3 linked regions of the Chlamydomonas reinhardtii genome follow. The protein of the gene in region 3 binds, or shares a complex with, the protein of the main gene of each other region. Links are inferred from orthologs where the notes say so. Each region holds a gene or a part of one and is shown on either strand. Other genes may lie near its edges.

What was found. The genes of interacting proteins can lie anywhere in the genome.
Region 1: CHLRE_06g280850v5 (region 3) and CHLRE_10g418100v5 share a complex: the UniProt entries of both Arabidopsis thaliana proteins name them as parts of the 20S core complex. The link is inferred for Chlamydomonas reinhardtii from reciprocal best matches to the Arabidopsis thaliana genes PBG1 and PAC1.
Region 2: CHLRE_06g280850v5 (region 3) and CHLRE_26g756797v5 share a complex: the UniProt entries of both Arabidopsis thaliana proteins name them as parts of the 20S core complex. The link is inferred for Chlamydomonas reinhardtii from reciprocal best matches to the Arabidopsis thaliana genes PBG1 and PBF1.

What each region holds. Positions count from the first base shown.
Region 1 is NC_057013.1:78,077-82,200, forward strand, and holds the start of CHLRE_10g418100v5 (uncharacterized protein), read right to left. Parts: upstream 2,801-4,124; 5' UTR 2,646-2,800; coding exon 2,484-2,645; intron 2,406-2,483; coding exon 2,318-2,405; intron 1,928-2,317; coding exon 1,812-1,927; intron 1,511-1,811; coding exon 1,452-1,510; intron 1,181-1,451; coding exon 1,057-1,180; intron 765-1,056; coding exon 639-764; intron 357-638; coding exon 270-356; 3' UTR 1-269. Other genes in the region: CHLRE_10g418150v5 (uncharacterized protein), read left to right, coding at 3,561-3,757, 3,871-3,922. UniProt on the Arabidopsis thaliana protein: The proteasome is a multicatalytic proteinase complex which is characterized by its ability to cleave peptides with Arg, Phe, Tyr, Leu, and Glu adjacent to the leaving group at neutral or slightly basic pH.
Region 2 is NW_025061539.1:25,766-29,764, forward strand, and holds the start of CHLRE_26g756797v5 (uncharacterized protein), read right to left. Parts: upstream 2,801-3,999; 5' UTR 2,692-2,800; coding exon 2,594-2,691; intron 2,527-2,593; coding exon 2,509-2,526; intron 2,382-2,508; coding exon 2,274-2,381; intron 1,608-2,273; coding exon 1,538-1,607; intron 1,088-1,537; coding exon 1,025-1,087; intron 659-1,024; coding exon 580-658; intron 39-579; coding exon 1-38. UniProt on the Arabidopsis thaliana protein: Non-catalytic component of the proteasome, a multicatalytic proteinase complex which is characterized by its ability to cleave peptides with Arg, Phe, Tyr, Leu, and Glu adjacent to the leaving group at neutral or slightly basic pH.
Region 3 is NC_057009.1:5,090,562-5,097,775, forward strand, and holds CHLRE_06g280850v5 (uncharacterized protein), read right to left. Parts: upstream 4,421-7,214; 5' UTR 4,281-4,420; coding exon 3,582-4,280; intron 3,152-3,581; coding exon 2,993-3,151; 3' UTR 2,584-2,992; downstream 1-2,583. Other genes in the region: CHLRE_06g280800v5 (uncharacterized protein), read left to right, coding at 1-645, 947-1,107, 1,323-1,519, 1,786-2,230; CHLRE_06g280900v5 (uncharacterized protein), read left to right, coding at 4,767-4,828, 4,915-4,975, 5,046-5,162, 5,277-5,429, 5,694-5,786, 6,019-6,081, 6,332-6,559. UniProt on the Arabidopsis thaliana protein: Non-catalytic component of the proteasome, a multicatalytic proteinase complex which is characterized by its ability to cleave peptides with Arg, Phe, Tyr, Leu, and Glu adjacent to the leaving group at neutral or slightly basic pH.

The DNA.
Region 1 (4,124 bases), on a different chromosome or scaffold from region 3:
GTGCACCCTCACTACCACCACAACCGCACCACCACCGCTGCTATGACACTTCTGCATACTGTACTAGCATACGGACACACGGCTGCGCCCCGCCGCCCGGGCAACCACCGTGGTACCCAACCTGTACACTCCCGCGCATCACCGCACTACCCCTCCAAACATTGCACCGGCTTAGTCCAGCCTCCCCGCCGCCCTGCAGTCACCACAGCCTGACCCCCCTCTCCTTCGTGCCCTCGACTCCTGCCACGTCCTTCTCATGCTCAGCCCGCTCAGCTCTGCGCCGCCGCCTCCTTCTCGGCGTTCGCTGCGTCCAGCAGCGGCGTCAGCTCGGGGGCGTCATAGATCTTGTACACCACCTGAAGCATGAGGGGGAGGCGGGGGAGGGGCAGGACAGGGGCGGGACAGGAGTGAGAGCGAGTTGGCAGTGGGATGTGAGCTGCCAGCCTCAGCGATGGAGGCACGAGGTAGGGGGGCGACCCAACCTGTCGCCTTGCCACTAAACCAAGGCCCCACATCCCAGTTGCAAACCTCGTGACACGTACATACCCATCGCATCTCATGTATAAAACCGGGGATGGTGAGCACAGCCCTCTCTCCGTCCCTCGCTCCCTCCCTCCCTCGCTGTCCTCCTCCCTCACCTTGCCGCTGGCTGCATCGCGGCTGATGGTGGCCAGCTCCACCTTGTCGGGCGCCAGACTGGTGTCCATGGACTTGGCCAGCACCTTGATGATGAAGGGGATGGCCTCAGACAGGGGCAGGTCCTCCTGCAGGGGGGGGGGGCGGGGGGTAGCCGTTCATGTGGAGAACGGAGTGCTAAAGTTACAAGTATGAAGTGAAGGGGGGGCTTGCGAGGTTAGCGAGAGGCAGCGCGGGACTGGCGGAGGGCAAGCGGGAGGGTGGGAGGTACTTTGTATGAGGTAGACTGCGGGAGGTGGGAGGGGTACATGTGGTTGGTGAGCAGGTGGTGGCGATGCATGTGGGACGATACTCGACTGCACACAGGATTAGTTGGGCGATTACATGCCCGCTCCTAACCCCCTCCCTCACCCTCCTTACCTTGAAGTCGCTCTTGAGCAGGTTGTTGGCGGCCTGGTGTCCGGCGCCAATGGCCACCGCCTTCCAGCCGCCGTAGTTGCCGCTGGGGTCGGACTGGTACAGCTGGAAGCCGTAGTGCTCGTCCCTGCGGGGTAGGGTGTGTGAGGCCAGGTCCAGCAGTCATGGGCCGTTGCCGTCCTGCTGCCTGCTCACGCCACGTGGTCCCCCGCGCAAGACTCCAGCCCTAGCACCCGGGCAGCTAGCACATCGCCCCGACCCCTGCACGCGGTCCACACGACGCCGTCCGCCCGTCACACGCCCTCCGCTCTGTGCACACCGCACGCTGCAAACCCCCCTCCCCCAGCGGCGCCTCCACACACGGCCAGGCCCCGCCCCCTCCCCCACTGTGCGCTCACCAGCCAGCGTACAGCAGCGACACACCGAACGGCCGCTGCCCTCCAAACTGGGTGTACCCCTGTGTGGGGGTGGGGTTGCACGGTTAGGGAACGGGAACAGAGTAAAAGCACCGGGCGGGGTGGGGTGGGGTGGTGGAACGGCAGGGACACGGGTCGTCAGGTCCTGCTCAGGCCGCATCGGGCAGCAATCCAACAGGGCAAAAGCCGGGTAGCAGGTTGGTGCAGTGCGGCGGCGCCACCCCTAGTATTGTGTATATAACGTATCCTCAAACACTCCCCCTGATGACGGGACTAATTCGCGGGGCTCGGCAAAGAATCCCCCCGCCCCTCCCCACCCCGCCACCGCCCGTTGTTTCTCACCTGCTTGGTGTCGCACACGGTGCGCACCAGCTGCTCCACCGGCATGGGCTCCTGGTAGGCGAACAGGTAGCGCTGGGCGGCCAGGCGGCACGTGTTGATCAGGATGTTGGCGTCGGCTGGAGAGGAAGAGGGGGAAGAGGTGGAGGGGGCAGGGGAATGTGAAGGGAAATGTGAAGGGGAAAGTGCTGGTTAGTTCGGGTCTTCGGGAGATGCGCACCGACCCCACGCTTCCATCCAGATGGCCTTCATAGCCACATCGGCGGAGACAATTGCTCGCCAGACACGCAGTCCTCCGCCGGTGGAAGCGCGGTGTTGACCAAGCGTCACACAAATAGAACCGAGTCGAAATGAAACCAGAGCTTCCCGCATGCCACAACGGCAGATACACAGATGCCAGTAACCCTGCGCTACAACAGTCGCACATGCCACCTCAACGGCCATGCTGCATCTGCAACTGGGTCAAGCCCACGCAGCACGCGAACCCGCCAGACCCCACCCGCCCCCACCTGTGATACCCGCCACCGAGCAGGCGATGTGGTTGTCTATCCGGTACATCTTCTCTCGGCGCACACCCACCGCGTGCGTGTCTAGGAGCTACGCGACCGAAAGACGATGCAAGTTAGCGCCAGCCCTGGAAATTGGGCGCGATCCCATGCGAGCCCGCCTAGTTACCTTGGATGTGATCTTCTTCTCCGCAATCAGGACGACTCCATCCTTCGCCAGCAGGCCAATGGACGCACCGGCGTTGGAAATGGCCTCCATGGCATACTCAACTTGGTAAAGGCGCCCCTCGGGGCTGAAAATCGTTGTGCGGGAATCATATCTCCGCGACATGGTGATGTATTGAGCTGGAGGGACACGTTAGTGGATTAAAGCAGCAGAGCAAACGAGCAGGGCCAAAAGTCTGGCAAAGATCTGTGTTTGTTATTTATCCCAAGCAGTTTTCTAGAGCCTATGTATCAAAAACAATGTAAGCGTAGTGGCCTAAGTTCGCGGTTTGCCGGGGATGCGCCTGCGGTCTCGACATCACGAGAGCCCCCTGCTCATCCAGGCACGCATCCAGGTGCCACGCCAACTGCTCACGCCAAAGCCCCCGAAGCCCTTCAAGTCCCCCTCCGCTTTTCCAAGATAGCCTGGAATAACACTCTGCGCCCGTGGGTCCATCAGTGTGGCCGCTCTTGGGTGTTCCCGTCACTGCAGGCATGCTTCGCACGCTGAATGTCCAAGCGTTCAGGGAATTCAGGGGATGGGCTTCACGTCGGTGGTACATCTGCAAAGTAGGATGTACGTTGATTAAGCGGGGGGAATGAGCGTTTGCGTATAGGGCTGGTGGTGGTCTGGTCGATTATGACGCCTGGTCATGACAGCACATCAACGATCGCAATGCACACAACTATTGCAGTGTGCCTGTCTTGAGCGGTGTTGCATTGCATCTGAACAATATTCAGGGAGGGACGAGGGGCAGATTCCGCTCGCGCCAGGAGGTTGGCACGTGTGTGTTTTTGTAAGGCCCCAGTTGAATAGACACCGCACAAGCACACGATAAGACCTGCAATTTTGCATGGTGTACTAGGTTGTGGGGGCAGCGGCCTCAAATTACTGACCAAAGCTTCGCAATCACAAACTCTAAGGTTGACAAGTCTAAGATGGCGAGTGCGCTGTAATCGACAAAGCAGCATATCACATATCAATTTCTCTTTATAAGAACGTTTCTCAGTGCACTTGAAGACTGCGCTTTGCGAAGACAGAATGACCAACCGGGCGACGTTGTCCCAAACCGCGACCTCGCTAACAAGTACCACTGGGCGGCGAGACAGGCTACAACGACAAGAAGACACAACGCTATTTGGATATGAGTCTCCACCCGACACGCCAGCCCTGCATCGCGACGTCTTGAAATGGGTTCAAGGCCTGGACTTGTCGCAGTCGCTGAAGAACTGCAGGCGGTAAGGCATCTCGGGGCTGCAGCGGGCTGGGCGCGGCGCCGTAGCTTCGCCGGTGCTTACCTGCCGGCCCCAGTCGCTGTGAGTCCAACGCCTGTGCTCCCGACTGGCCGCAGGGACGTGGCGAACGGCTTCCTAGTGGCGGAAATCTTCTCAAGATACTTTCCGGTGCGTGGGCATGGGGAGGAGGCGTTCGGGCCGGGAAGCGCCTAGGAAGGGAGGGGCAGGCGTGCTGCGACAGCTGTGTGGGACGGGCTGGGCTCGTGCTGACGGGACTGGTCATGCTGCCCGGCCGTTTAGGTAGAATATGAATTGCACACAGTAGATTCAAATGCAGACCGTATGTAGCTATCATGGCGGTGGGTATGGC
Region 2 (3,999 bases), on a different chromosome or scaffold from region 3:
GGAGCCGATGGCGTCGTAGTTGTACACGGCTCCGCGGCCTGTGTGCGTGTGTGGGTGCGTGTGTGGGTGTGGGTGTGGGAGCGGGAGATGGGAGTGGGTGTGGGGAGGTGCTTGGGTGGGGAGATGTGTGCGTGTGCGTGTGCGTGTGGACAGGCCACATCCCCACTGCCGCCGCCCCCGCCGCCGCCGCCGCCGCCGCCGAGCGCAACAGTCACAGTGTTGCCACTCCCCTCACCCACCTAACCCATCCCTCCCTCCACCCACCCCCCAAATCCCGACCCCCCTCATCCCCTCTGCCAGCCCAACCCCAAGCTTCGCACCCCTGCATGTGTCCTCCGCCCTCTCCCTGCCCCCACGCTCTCCTCCTCCCTCTACTGCATTGGGTTCGGTTGCGTTTGGGCTGGTACCTGCAACCCCAGTCCCCTCACCCTGTTCATCCCGGCCCGCGCACAAGTTGAAGCCCCTTCCGTACATCCACACCCACCCACCCCACACAGACACGTCCGTCATATGCGTCGTATTTATCTATCCATCCATACACCTATCTATCCATCCATCTAAACCCAGTTTCCGCCTCACCCTGCTCGTCCAGCCCGGCGCACAGGTTGAAGGTGTAGAAGGGGAAGAAGCGCTTGTAGTAGAGCGTGTTGGACAGCAGCTTGGGGGTGTGGGCGTGGGGGGTGGGGGGATGGGTGGAGAATGGAGGGGTTGTGTGAGGAATGGAATGGAGGGGGCAGGGGGCAGGGGAGGGGTTACATTCATGATCGGATGTGTGTTCTGGTAGTAGCCAACCGCTCCAACCGTCCGGAGCCACACATCCGCATCCACACCACAAAGGCGAAAGCATGGGCCCTCCCCAACCGCAACCCGAACCGCCGCAAACCACCCCACCCCACCCCCCACCCTTCCCGCCCCCCATAATTCCGCTTCTTTATCCTGATCCCAACCCTTTTTCAACCTTGCGACCCCCTATTCCCCCCCTCCCCCCCCCCAGCCCCCTAGCCCCCCCCCCTCCCCTCCTCACCTGCGCTGTGGCTGGTAGCGACATGGGGCGGCCGTGGTTGTGCACGTACATGACGTGCCGGGCCTGTGTGTGGGGGTGTGGGTGTGGGGAAGTGTGACGGCCTGCCCTCCCTCCCTCTCCTACTCACACCCCACCCCAAACCCACCCCACCCCAAACCCACCCCAAACCCACCCCAAACCCACGCCACCATCACACATGCCGCACGTGCAGAGTCTACCCTATCCCCCTGTGCTTTCCGAGCACCCACCCCCGCCCTAAACACCCCACACAACCCCTACCCCACCACGCCCATCCCCACCCACACACCACATCCCCACCCACCCACCCACCCACACCCACACACCCACCCACACACCCACCCACACACCCCAACACACACACACACACACACACCATCCCCTCACCCACCCACCCACCCCACCCACCCCAACACACACCCAACCAACCACCCCAACACACACATACACACACGCACCCCACCCCCCAACCCCCCACCCATCACCCGCCCACACCTGCAGCAGCTTGTGCAGCGCCTTGCGGTCCGCCTGCATGCCCGCGCTGGCGATCACCACCTTGTCCGACCTGTGTGTGTGCGTGCGTGTTTTCACAAAGTGTGTCATCGCGTTCAATGGTAAAGTGTCTGTAAGCACAAACAAGTGTCGTGTCGTGCTGTGTCACGTTGCGGATACTCGCATGAGTGAACCGCTGCGCTGGGTCGTGCTGTGTGGGACGAACCGAGGCACGCGGCCGTGAATACGCTCAGTCAAACACGACACGGCAAATTGCCGTCAACCCCCTCCCTCCCTCTTTCTCGCCCCCCGACCCACAAACATCGTTCCCTCCCTGCAGGCCCCCCTCCCTCCCACCCTGCAGGCGTGCCACGTCCGCACAAGCCACCTGCAGCTGCGGCAGCCTCACCGCCTGCCACACACGACGCCCGCCAGCCTCCGGACGTGCATCAGTCCCTCCCTCCCCCGCCCCACCTGCCTTGATTGCGGCCCCCTGCCATTGCTGCAACACCCCACGCACCCACCTACACACGCACCACCAGCCAGCTTATGGCCGCACCCCCAATTGCCACCCTCTCAATGCCGTCCCCCCTCCCTCCCCTACACACCCGCGCACACGCACACGCATTCCCGCTGTCCCCCCCCTTTCCCCCCACACTCTAAAAGACTCCATCACGGCCTCTCCCCTCATCTCATCTCCTCGCCTCTACGATCGCCCCCCCCCCCCACTCGCACTCACAGCTGCAGCATCATGGTCGCCTCGCGCGTGAGGATGCTGAAGCCGGTGGACATGCGCGTGCTCGCGGCCACGATGCAGTAGTCCTCTCCCGCCACCGCAACCACGGTTCTGCAAGGAATTGGCTAACGTCATTCCACGCACTCCAACGCAGCACCAAACACCGCAAACGAAATGCAGCAGAAGGGGTTCGCGGGATCTGCTGGCCTCGCGCGAGAACTGGCAGCTTTGAGCTCACCCGCCGTTGTCATCGTATCTGCATATTGAAAATTGAGCACTGTTAGCTTTAGAATCTGCAAGGCATTTGCCAACTGTGCACTTACGGGCTCCACGCTGCGTGTTGCCTTTGCCCGTCCGCGGCGTCCGCCTGAACCTTGCTAAGGGGGTTGCCTAGTTGATAGGGTGAAGCGGTAGAAGCCATGGCTTTCGTTTTACGGTGAAGGCAAATGGAATGACGAGAGGGATCTGCTCAAATTTATCGCGACGTGTGATTTGATGTAGAGCTTGATAGTGCTTTCGTTATGTATAGGTACAAGTGGTGCTGTCGTGGAGTCTCCTCCATTCAAGGCACAAGCCCAGCTGCCGAACCCTGGTCACCCCATGCGCGCGTACGGTGCCGTCACCCCCGCGCCTGGCCCCCGGCCTTTGCAAGGCTGCCGCACCGGAGCGCCCGGAGCTGGGCCTCCCAGTCTGCTTCTTCTTCTGCAGAGAGCCGAGGGCCCTAGTGACACCCGCTCAGGCCCCTAGCTGCTTGTATTGATGGGAACGAAAGAGTGCGACGCTACACGAAGGGACAGTCCGCGGCTTGCAACGGCACCATCCCTCGCTGCGCCCATGGAACTCACAGGGCTTGCTTGCATCTTTGGGGAGCGGCACGGAACGGGCCCGAATGCAGGCCCTCGGGCGAGAAAGATTGGGCATTTCCGGGGATGCATTCCCGCCGCGTCGGGCTGCATATTTTGTTGGTGTGTGTGGTTACAAGGAGGTGAGCACGACGTGCATATGGTCCCCAAATCTCGCCAACTACCCTGGGTTGTAGATACCAGCCCAAACCGGGAGCCGGGGGGAGTTCGGGGGTCACGGCCCGCAATGCACGCCCGACCCATGGGATGCCAGTTGCCGGGCGATTCACTTGCAGCGCATCTATCGACGCGGCGTTGGGGCATCTCTCGCCGCCTGTAAGAGCTGTACGGTAGTTAGTTGGACCCCCGCTGCTGCCAGGAGCGCCAGGCAGCTGCTGGCGCCGGGCAAGGTGCTGGTGCCGGGCAAGGTGCTGGGTGGCACCCGTATGGCGCAACCCGCTCCTTTGCATCAATACCGTATGCATTGCCGGTTAGGAACAATGCATTCGGTGGGGTTGCAGCAGGGGTGCCGTGCACGGGCTCGGACCTGCTCGGGCCACCACCAGCTAGGCATGGCCACGGTGTGTTTCACACACGCCACACGCCATCCACGCCCCACGTCTACCCCTGGAAGCGAGGCACGGGCATGGCCAGCGGCGCTGGGGCGTACTAGCTAGCTATTGACGTGCTTGAAGCTAGGCATGGCCAAGCTGAGCGCATGCCACACGCCATCTATCCACGCGTGCCTTCTGTTGCCAAGCATTCCCAAGCCTCACCTTGAACCCCTAGAACAGTTAACAACCCGCCGATTCTCGGCACTCCTACGGGACTGGGGCGACCTCGACATTCCCGCCGCGGCATGTAGGCGCGTCAACCGGCATACATGG
Region 3 (7,214 bases):
CTTCTGAGCCGGCTCCTGCGTCTGTCAGCTCGGAGGAGCTGGAGCTGGCCGTGGCCAACTTGAAGGAGGGCAAGAGCCTAATTGACGATGACCCGGAGAAGGCTGTGGAGCTGCTATGCTCGGTCGTGAGGACGTATGAGAAGAAATATGGCAGCGAGGGCATCGAGTGCGCGGATGTGTACCTGTACTATGGAATTGCGCTCTATGAGGTGGCGCGCAACGCCACCGATGCGCTGGGCACCACCAAGACGACGGTAGACAAGAAGGAGCAGGCGGAGGGTGCAGGCCCGTCGACCAGCGCAGGCGCGGGCGGCTCCGCTGCGGAGTTCAAAGCCGAGCAGCCCGCGGCGGAGGCGGCGCAAGCCGATGACCAGAAGGAGGGCGAGGGCAAGGACGACGAGGAGGGCGGCGAGGAGGGCGGCGAGGGCGAGGAGGGTGCAGCGGGTGACGGCGAGGGCGAGGGTGGCGAGGGCGAGGAAGCGGAGGGCACGCCCACAGACGACATGAAGCTGGCTTGGGAGATGATCGAGCTGTCGCGCATCATCTACGACCGCAACTCGCCCGAGCAGCACCACAGCAAGCTGGCCGAGGTGCACAAGTCGCTCGGAGATATCAAGTCGGAGGAGGAGCGCTTCGAGGAGGCGGGTGAGAGTGACTGGCTGGCTGGCTTGGCGGGTGGTGGCTGGGGAGGGTGGGTGGGCGCCGGGGCTGAGGGGCGTGCGGGGCTCAGCGGGGCCCAGGCGAGGTGGGTCGACTGAGGCCGGGTGGGCGATCAGGAGCGTTTTCGGTGCAGGCGGTGCTCAAGGCCTGCGCCAATCCGGATTGCCCCGTGTGACGGCCGTCCCATCGTTATACTGCACCCATACTATTCTCCGCGCACTTATGCCCCTCCCTCTCCCCCTGATGCCCCCTTCCCCCTGATGCCGCCTCCCGCTCTGCCATGCAGCCGAGTGCTACCGGCAGTCCATCGCGCACCTCAAGGCCATGCAGCCGCCCAGCAAGCGGCGCATCGCCGAGGTGCAGTACAAGCTGTCGCTGTCGCTCACCTTCATGGAGCAGCCGGACCAGGCGCTGGCGCAGACGGAGGAGGCCATCGGCTCGCTGGAGGTGCGGGGCTGGGCGGCAGAGGGGCTTTGGGGGGCGGGTCACATCTGGGCTGTCGCTGGGGCTGGCGAGCTAGGCGCGTGCGGGTGGCTGGAAGGAGGGAGAGGGGTTACGAGAAGTCGGGGTGCTGGACATCATGCGCCTTTCAGGCAGGGGCTTTCGTGAAGGGGGCCTAACGCCGGTCACTCACGTCGTCCCGCGCTGCATATCCCACACAGGCCGCGGCCGGCGAGATTGAGGAGAAGCTTGCGGCGCTGCCCACGGACGGCAGCGGCGGCGAGGAGGCGGAGGAGGAGGGCCGGCGGCTGCAGGAGACCGCGGACGACCTGCGGGCGGTCATGACGGAGCTGACCCACAACTGCGAGGGGCTGCGCGACACCATCAAGCACAACAACTCACTCAAGGAGGCGCTCAGGTGGGGCCAGCGGGTCGGGTGGGCGGAGGCTGACGGGGGCCAGAGTGCAGTTGTGGCCGGGAGCGGGGGGGCTGTGCTACATTCGCATGGGCCTGCGCGGAGCGATTGTGGGCAGAGGGGCTGCGCTACTTATGGCGTGGGTCCGGCGTTGCAGGCGACACTCTGGCAGACCTGGCTGTCGCCCGTAGGTGCTCCTGCTTTCACAGCACGTTCAGACGGTAACCCGCTTCACCTGTGCGACCTGTGTGTCCCGGTTTCCCGCGCAGGCAAGCGTTCATCAAGGCGAATGGCGGTGCCGCTGCCCTGGCGGGCGCCGCCGGCGGCTCCTCTGGCTCCTTCGCGGCGCCGACCAACGCAGCCGCCGCCGCCGCCACCGTGTCTCTGGGTGTGGTGGGGCGGGGTACCAAGCGCATCACCCTCCAGCCCGCGGCCGCGCCGGCGCAGGGCCAGCCTGCGGACGGTGCCGCGGCCGGCGGCTCTGCCGCGCCGCCGCCCAAGCGCACCCTTGCCGACCTTACGGTGGTCCAGCCGCCCCTACCCTCCAACAGCCCCGGACTGGCCGCCAGCGGGCAGGGCGCGTCGGTTGTGGGCGCCACGGCGGCGGGGACGGCCGACGGGCAAGCGCAGGCCCAGGAGCCGGCGAAGCGGGCGCGGCTAGAGGAGGCGGCGGCAGCGCCCTCGGAGGCGCCGAGCTCAGATGCGGCGAAGTGAGAGAGGTTGGGTGTACTTCGTTAGGCGTGTGTGGTGGTGATGACGGGCGTGGGCGAGCCTGCAGGCGGGTTTCTGATGGCCTGGGACAGTGCCGGTGCTGCTTGCAGGCGGCAGGTGGTGGGGTTGGTGCTTAACTTGCAGTTCAGCTAGTGAGCCACCGGTGAGTGAGTGAACTGAAGGCTGAGTTTGGAATGCGGACATTATGAATACAGTACGTTGTGCAGCCAGATCTGCAACATGAGCAAGCGATGCATGTAGGACTCAGCCGTACACGCACGCGTACTCTGATGCTGCTTCAGCCAAATGCTGGCAGTATGATAGCGAGTTTGGAGTGAGCGAGCAGCTGGCAAAGACATGCGTCTAGTTTACAAGCGTGCACGTGCACACATGGTGCCATGCGGGGTCCACTCAGGGGCGTCCGGTGCTGTAACCATGATATACCTGCTGCACCTGTTGCAATCTGCTCCAGGCGGCCCTGCCACTGAGGTGTGCACCACCAAGCCGGAACCGTAGCCAAAAGACTTGACAGCCACCTCGCCCGCAGCCCGGCGCTGTCGGGAAACTCGCCTTCCTCCACAACCCTATACATGCCCGCCACAGTACGCAACACTACCGCGCGCAGCCCTACCTGCGTGAACTCATGTCAACGCCATTCCTGTCCTCCTTGTCCTCTTCACCGCACTCATCGCCGTAGCCCTTCACATCTACACCTCCGCTGCCGCCGCCGCGGCCAGCGCTTCCGCTGCCTCTGCCGCCGGCCTTTTACCAGGCGCCCACGGCCCACTTGGTGGGGTTGGAGAACATCTTGTAGTCCCAGCGCATGTCCAGCGCGAAGGGCTCGGAGATGCTGACGCCACCGGCAGTGGTGACCTTGGCCACCTGGAACTTGTTGATGGACACCTTGTCGCGGTAGTAGCACACCTGTAGACACAGCGGCGGGATGGGATGAGGGCAAAGGCGCAAATGGCGGCAACGGCTGAGATTGCGTGCGTGAGGGGGAGAGGGGGAGGTGACAGCAGTGCGATGGAGACGCACAATGGGAGCCTGGCGGAAGTGTGGTGATGTGGACGCCCGCCGTCAAAACGTCCGCATCCGTCATCCGTGCAGCCCACCACACTGCACAGCGTGCATAGCGCCCTTGCCACCGTTCTAACCCGCCCGTCCTCCCGTGTAGCCGCGCTCTTTCCCACAGCAGCCCTGCAACCTTCTGCCGCGCCGCCGCCGCCCTCCCCGCCTCACGCGCCCCTGCCTGTGCCGGCTGCCACTCCTCCTCTTCCAACCTCCGTCCCCCCACCGCCCTTACCCCCCTGCCCTTCTCCCGCCGCGCCCCATGCTGCTGCCTGCTCCTCACCCGCATGGCGTCGTACAGCAGGTTGAGCGCCTCCTCCTCGCTCATGTCATCCCGCTGCCGCTCGCGGAACAGCGGCCGCGCCAGCTGGTTGGCGAAGCCGGTGGTGACGTGGCTGTCGGTGTAGTGCGTGCCGATCATGCCCACCATGCCCAGGAACTGGCTGCCGTCCGGCTGCACGCCGCCCACCACCAGCGAGTTCCACAGCGGGTCCATCTTGTTTCGCCGGTTGTACATGACGCGGCACAGGTAGCTGTACACCTGCTGCGGCGTCAGCTGTATCCCGTCGTCAATGCGGTAGTCGTCGGTGGTCAGCTCGTCCAGCAGGTTGGAGATGTGCTGGAAGTCGCTGATCTCGCCGCCCGCCGCCACCACGCACTTGTCGTTCACGCGGTACAGGCGCTGCGTGCTCTTGTAGCGCTTGGTGCTGCCGTAGGCGCCCAGTGTGTCGCAGCCCAGCAGCACGCCGTCCTTGTACTTGACGGCAAGCACGGACGTGCCCGTCACGTAGGGGTACTTGGTGTGCTGGCGGGGGTCGTTCAGCGAGCTGGGGTCCACGGCGCAGGGCGCGGCGCCGCTGAGCGGCAGGTGTGCGCCAGGCTGCGGGGGCCGGTCCAGCACCGCGGAGGTGGCCACCGCGAGCTCCGGGCCGGCCACGCCCGGGCCTAGCGCCTTGGAGTGACTCGTTGGCCGTGGCAGCATGGCTCCTGCTGCTGCTTTCTGGCTAGGAAGGACGACTACGGAAGTGAAGCGACAGAAATTGGCGCAAAGGCGAAAGATCTGCTTGAGGGTTGTGTTTGGTCTTGAGCTAGGTCAGCACAAATATATGCAGGCTGGTTTGCAGCATATATGTATATAATGGAAGTGACCAGGTCTTGCTGGCTTCTGGGGAAAGCATGGGCCAGAGGGGCATGCCGTGAGGGCAAACACATTCTGCACCGGCATGCTCCAGCACGCGATCATATTTGTCTTTCTAACGTTTATTTGAACCCTACATCTTAGCAACAACGTGTCCCTGCTTCGTGTAGACACAACAAGCCCGCGAACATTTGGCCAAACTGCCTGCACGGTTCTGGCGCTGCCCAACACGTTCAATACGTTGCACAAAAAGCTCTACCGGCTCCAGCTAGCCGGGCTAGGGCACTGTAGACAGCGGAACCCAGCATGCTCAGTCCTTGAGCACTGCATATGTCCTATTTATTGGAGGTTCCATCCACCGGACGAGTAGCTACAGCATACATGGCTTACCGGTGCGTGGCATTAGCTTGCAACCCCGCTGAGTTACGAGTCCAGAGCAGCGACCAACTTCTGTTTCCTGTGCTCGCTCCCTTTCCAGCAGTCCTGCCCCCGCGCGCCCGCCCGGCCAAACACGCGTATGGGAGGACCTGCGCAAGGAGGTGCGGGGTGTGGGCGTGGGTCTCGGTCTCGTTTCGCGGATGCACAACATCAGTATCGCTGCCACTGCAGGCACGCCGGCTAGAAGGCGAGCTCGATGTGAAACTCGCGGCTTTCACCAAGCTGTGCTCCAGCTTTGAGGCCAGCTACAAGCTAAACACGGCAGATAACTCGCTCGGGGCAGACCAGGTGAGGGGGATACCCATCGGCACACCTGTGCGTATGGCACTCGGTGCGTTGCCCTGTGCGATGCACCCCTGCTAACAATGAACCCCATACCGTCAATGCCCCCGAATGCCCCAGCAGCTCGCCCAGACGAAAGCTGCAGAAGTCGAGGACCTGCTGCAACGGCTGTCGGACATCAACGATGAGATGGCTGCCATCGTAGGCGGCAGCACGGACTCGCGTTCCCACACGCTCGCACGCCACCGTGACATACTGCAGGAGTTCACGCAGGTGTGTGGAGCAGTATCAATTTGCCCATGAAGAGGGACCGCGCGCCCGGCTGCCCAGGGGTTGTCGCGTGCAGCCCTCCTGCAGGCAGAACCAGCGGTCCTACACCAGCATCAGCCTCGACCTCGCCACCACCATGTGTTGCGCCGAGCTTCTCCCGCGTCCGACTTCTGCGATGCCCACAAACCATGCGACGCTAACACTGGTGGTTATCGTTTCCCTGTGTGTCTGCTTTGGTGCCCGGGTCCATTCATTTTCGCCCTGCAGGAGTTCCGCAAGGTGAACTCGACGCTGGGCGCGGCGCTGGACCGCGTCAAGCTGTTGGCGGGCGCCTCGGACAGCCCGCACCTCAGCGTGAACGTGAGGCCGTGGCGCACGGGGGTGATCCGGGGCTTGAGTTGGCCTCAGCTGGCGCTGCAGGGACTGCCGGCGGGCGGGATACTGAACCGGCGGGTGGGGCACGGAGCATGAGGCTGTTGCGACGCTGCTAATGGGCGTCGCGACGTATGCCTCAGATTGGGCAACGCATGCAAGTTGGTCTTGAAGCTGCGTCTCAATCTTCCTGCTGCTTGCGTGGTTGGGGTCTGCGCAGGTCCAGAACTCGTCGGGGGCGCTGCTGCGGGAACGCGGCGCCATCCAGAACTCGGCCAACATGGTGAGCACCTGACGCGACCAGGCTGAAACTGGCTAGAGGCGGGCCGCACTCCTGCTCCGCTGCTGTGGGCTGGGGCACCACCCATCGGGTGCTGCGGTCGGGCTCGAGTGCCTGACCGCAGTAGCTTCCTGGCGCTTACCAGGTGCTGACCACACGGTGCGGCCGTGACGACTGCACCTGCGACTAAACAGCGCAACTAACCGGTGCCGGTGCGCCTGGCATCGTGCGCCCTGTGCCGCTCCACACGCAGGTGGACGACATCCTGTCCCAGGCCGCCAACGTGAGCGGCAACCTGCTGGGGCAGCGGCGCGTGTTCGAGGGCGCGCTAGACAAGCTGGTGCAGGTGGGGTCGCGCTTCCCCGTGGTGAACGGGCTGCTCAACGCCATTCGGCGGAAGAAGTCCAAGGACACGCTGGTGCTGGCGGGCGTCATCGCCGCCTGCGTGCTGTTCACCATCCTCTACGTCATGGCAAAGTAGAAGTCTGTGTCGCAAGCAGTGCACTGTTAGCGTATAGTCATAGGGGTGTGGGGGTTAAGTTCAAGGGCATGGGGCATGGGTAGTGGTGGACTTATGGCGGCGTGTGGGAGGTCGGGGTGGCCGCCGCGGGCGTGCAAGGTGCGGCAGCCGAGCGACGTGCCACAACGAGCGGGCAGGGACAGGAGATGTGCAGTGGTTAGGCGTATGAGTGACGGTGTGACGAAGTGAGGACGCAGGCGGTGTGAACTGCAGTGCGCACAGTGATGGGAAACGGGCAGGTTTAGGCGCATCGTCTTTCGGGCTAAGCAAGATGTCAACCGTAGACGACGATGCAATTGGGGCATGCGCCTAGGGAACCCCCAGTAGTGGACGCGCACTACCGCATAGTGGATTAAAAGGTTGACGAGGGTTTCCATGGACGAGTACAGTTACATGGACTAGTAGGGGTTGTATTGGGGCCCGGTACTGCTGACCAGGGCCGCAGATTAGCGCCGCTGTTAGGCGGATGTTGGCGATGCGGTGTGTCCGGCGTGAGTGACTGGCCACACAAGACGTGTGTGCAGCACTGGATTCGTGGACTTGCGGGTGGGATGGCACTGTCACCGTATGCCACTCGACCAGTCGACAGACACCCAGCGCCTGTGGCCAAGCGAAT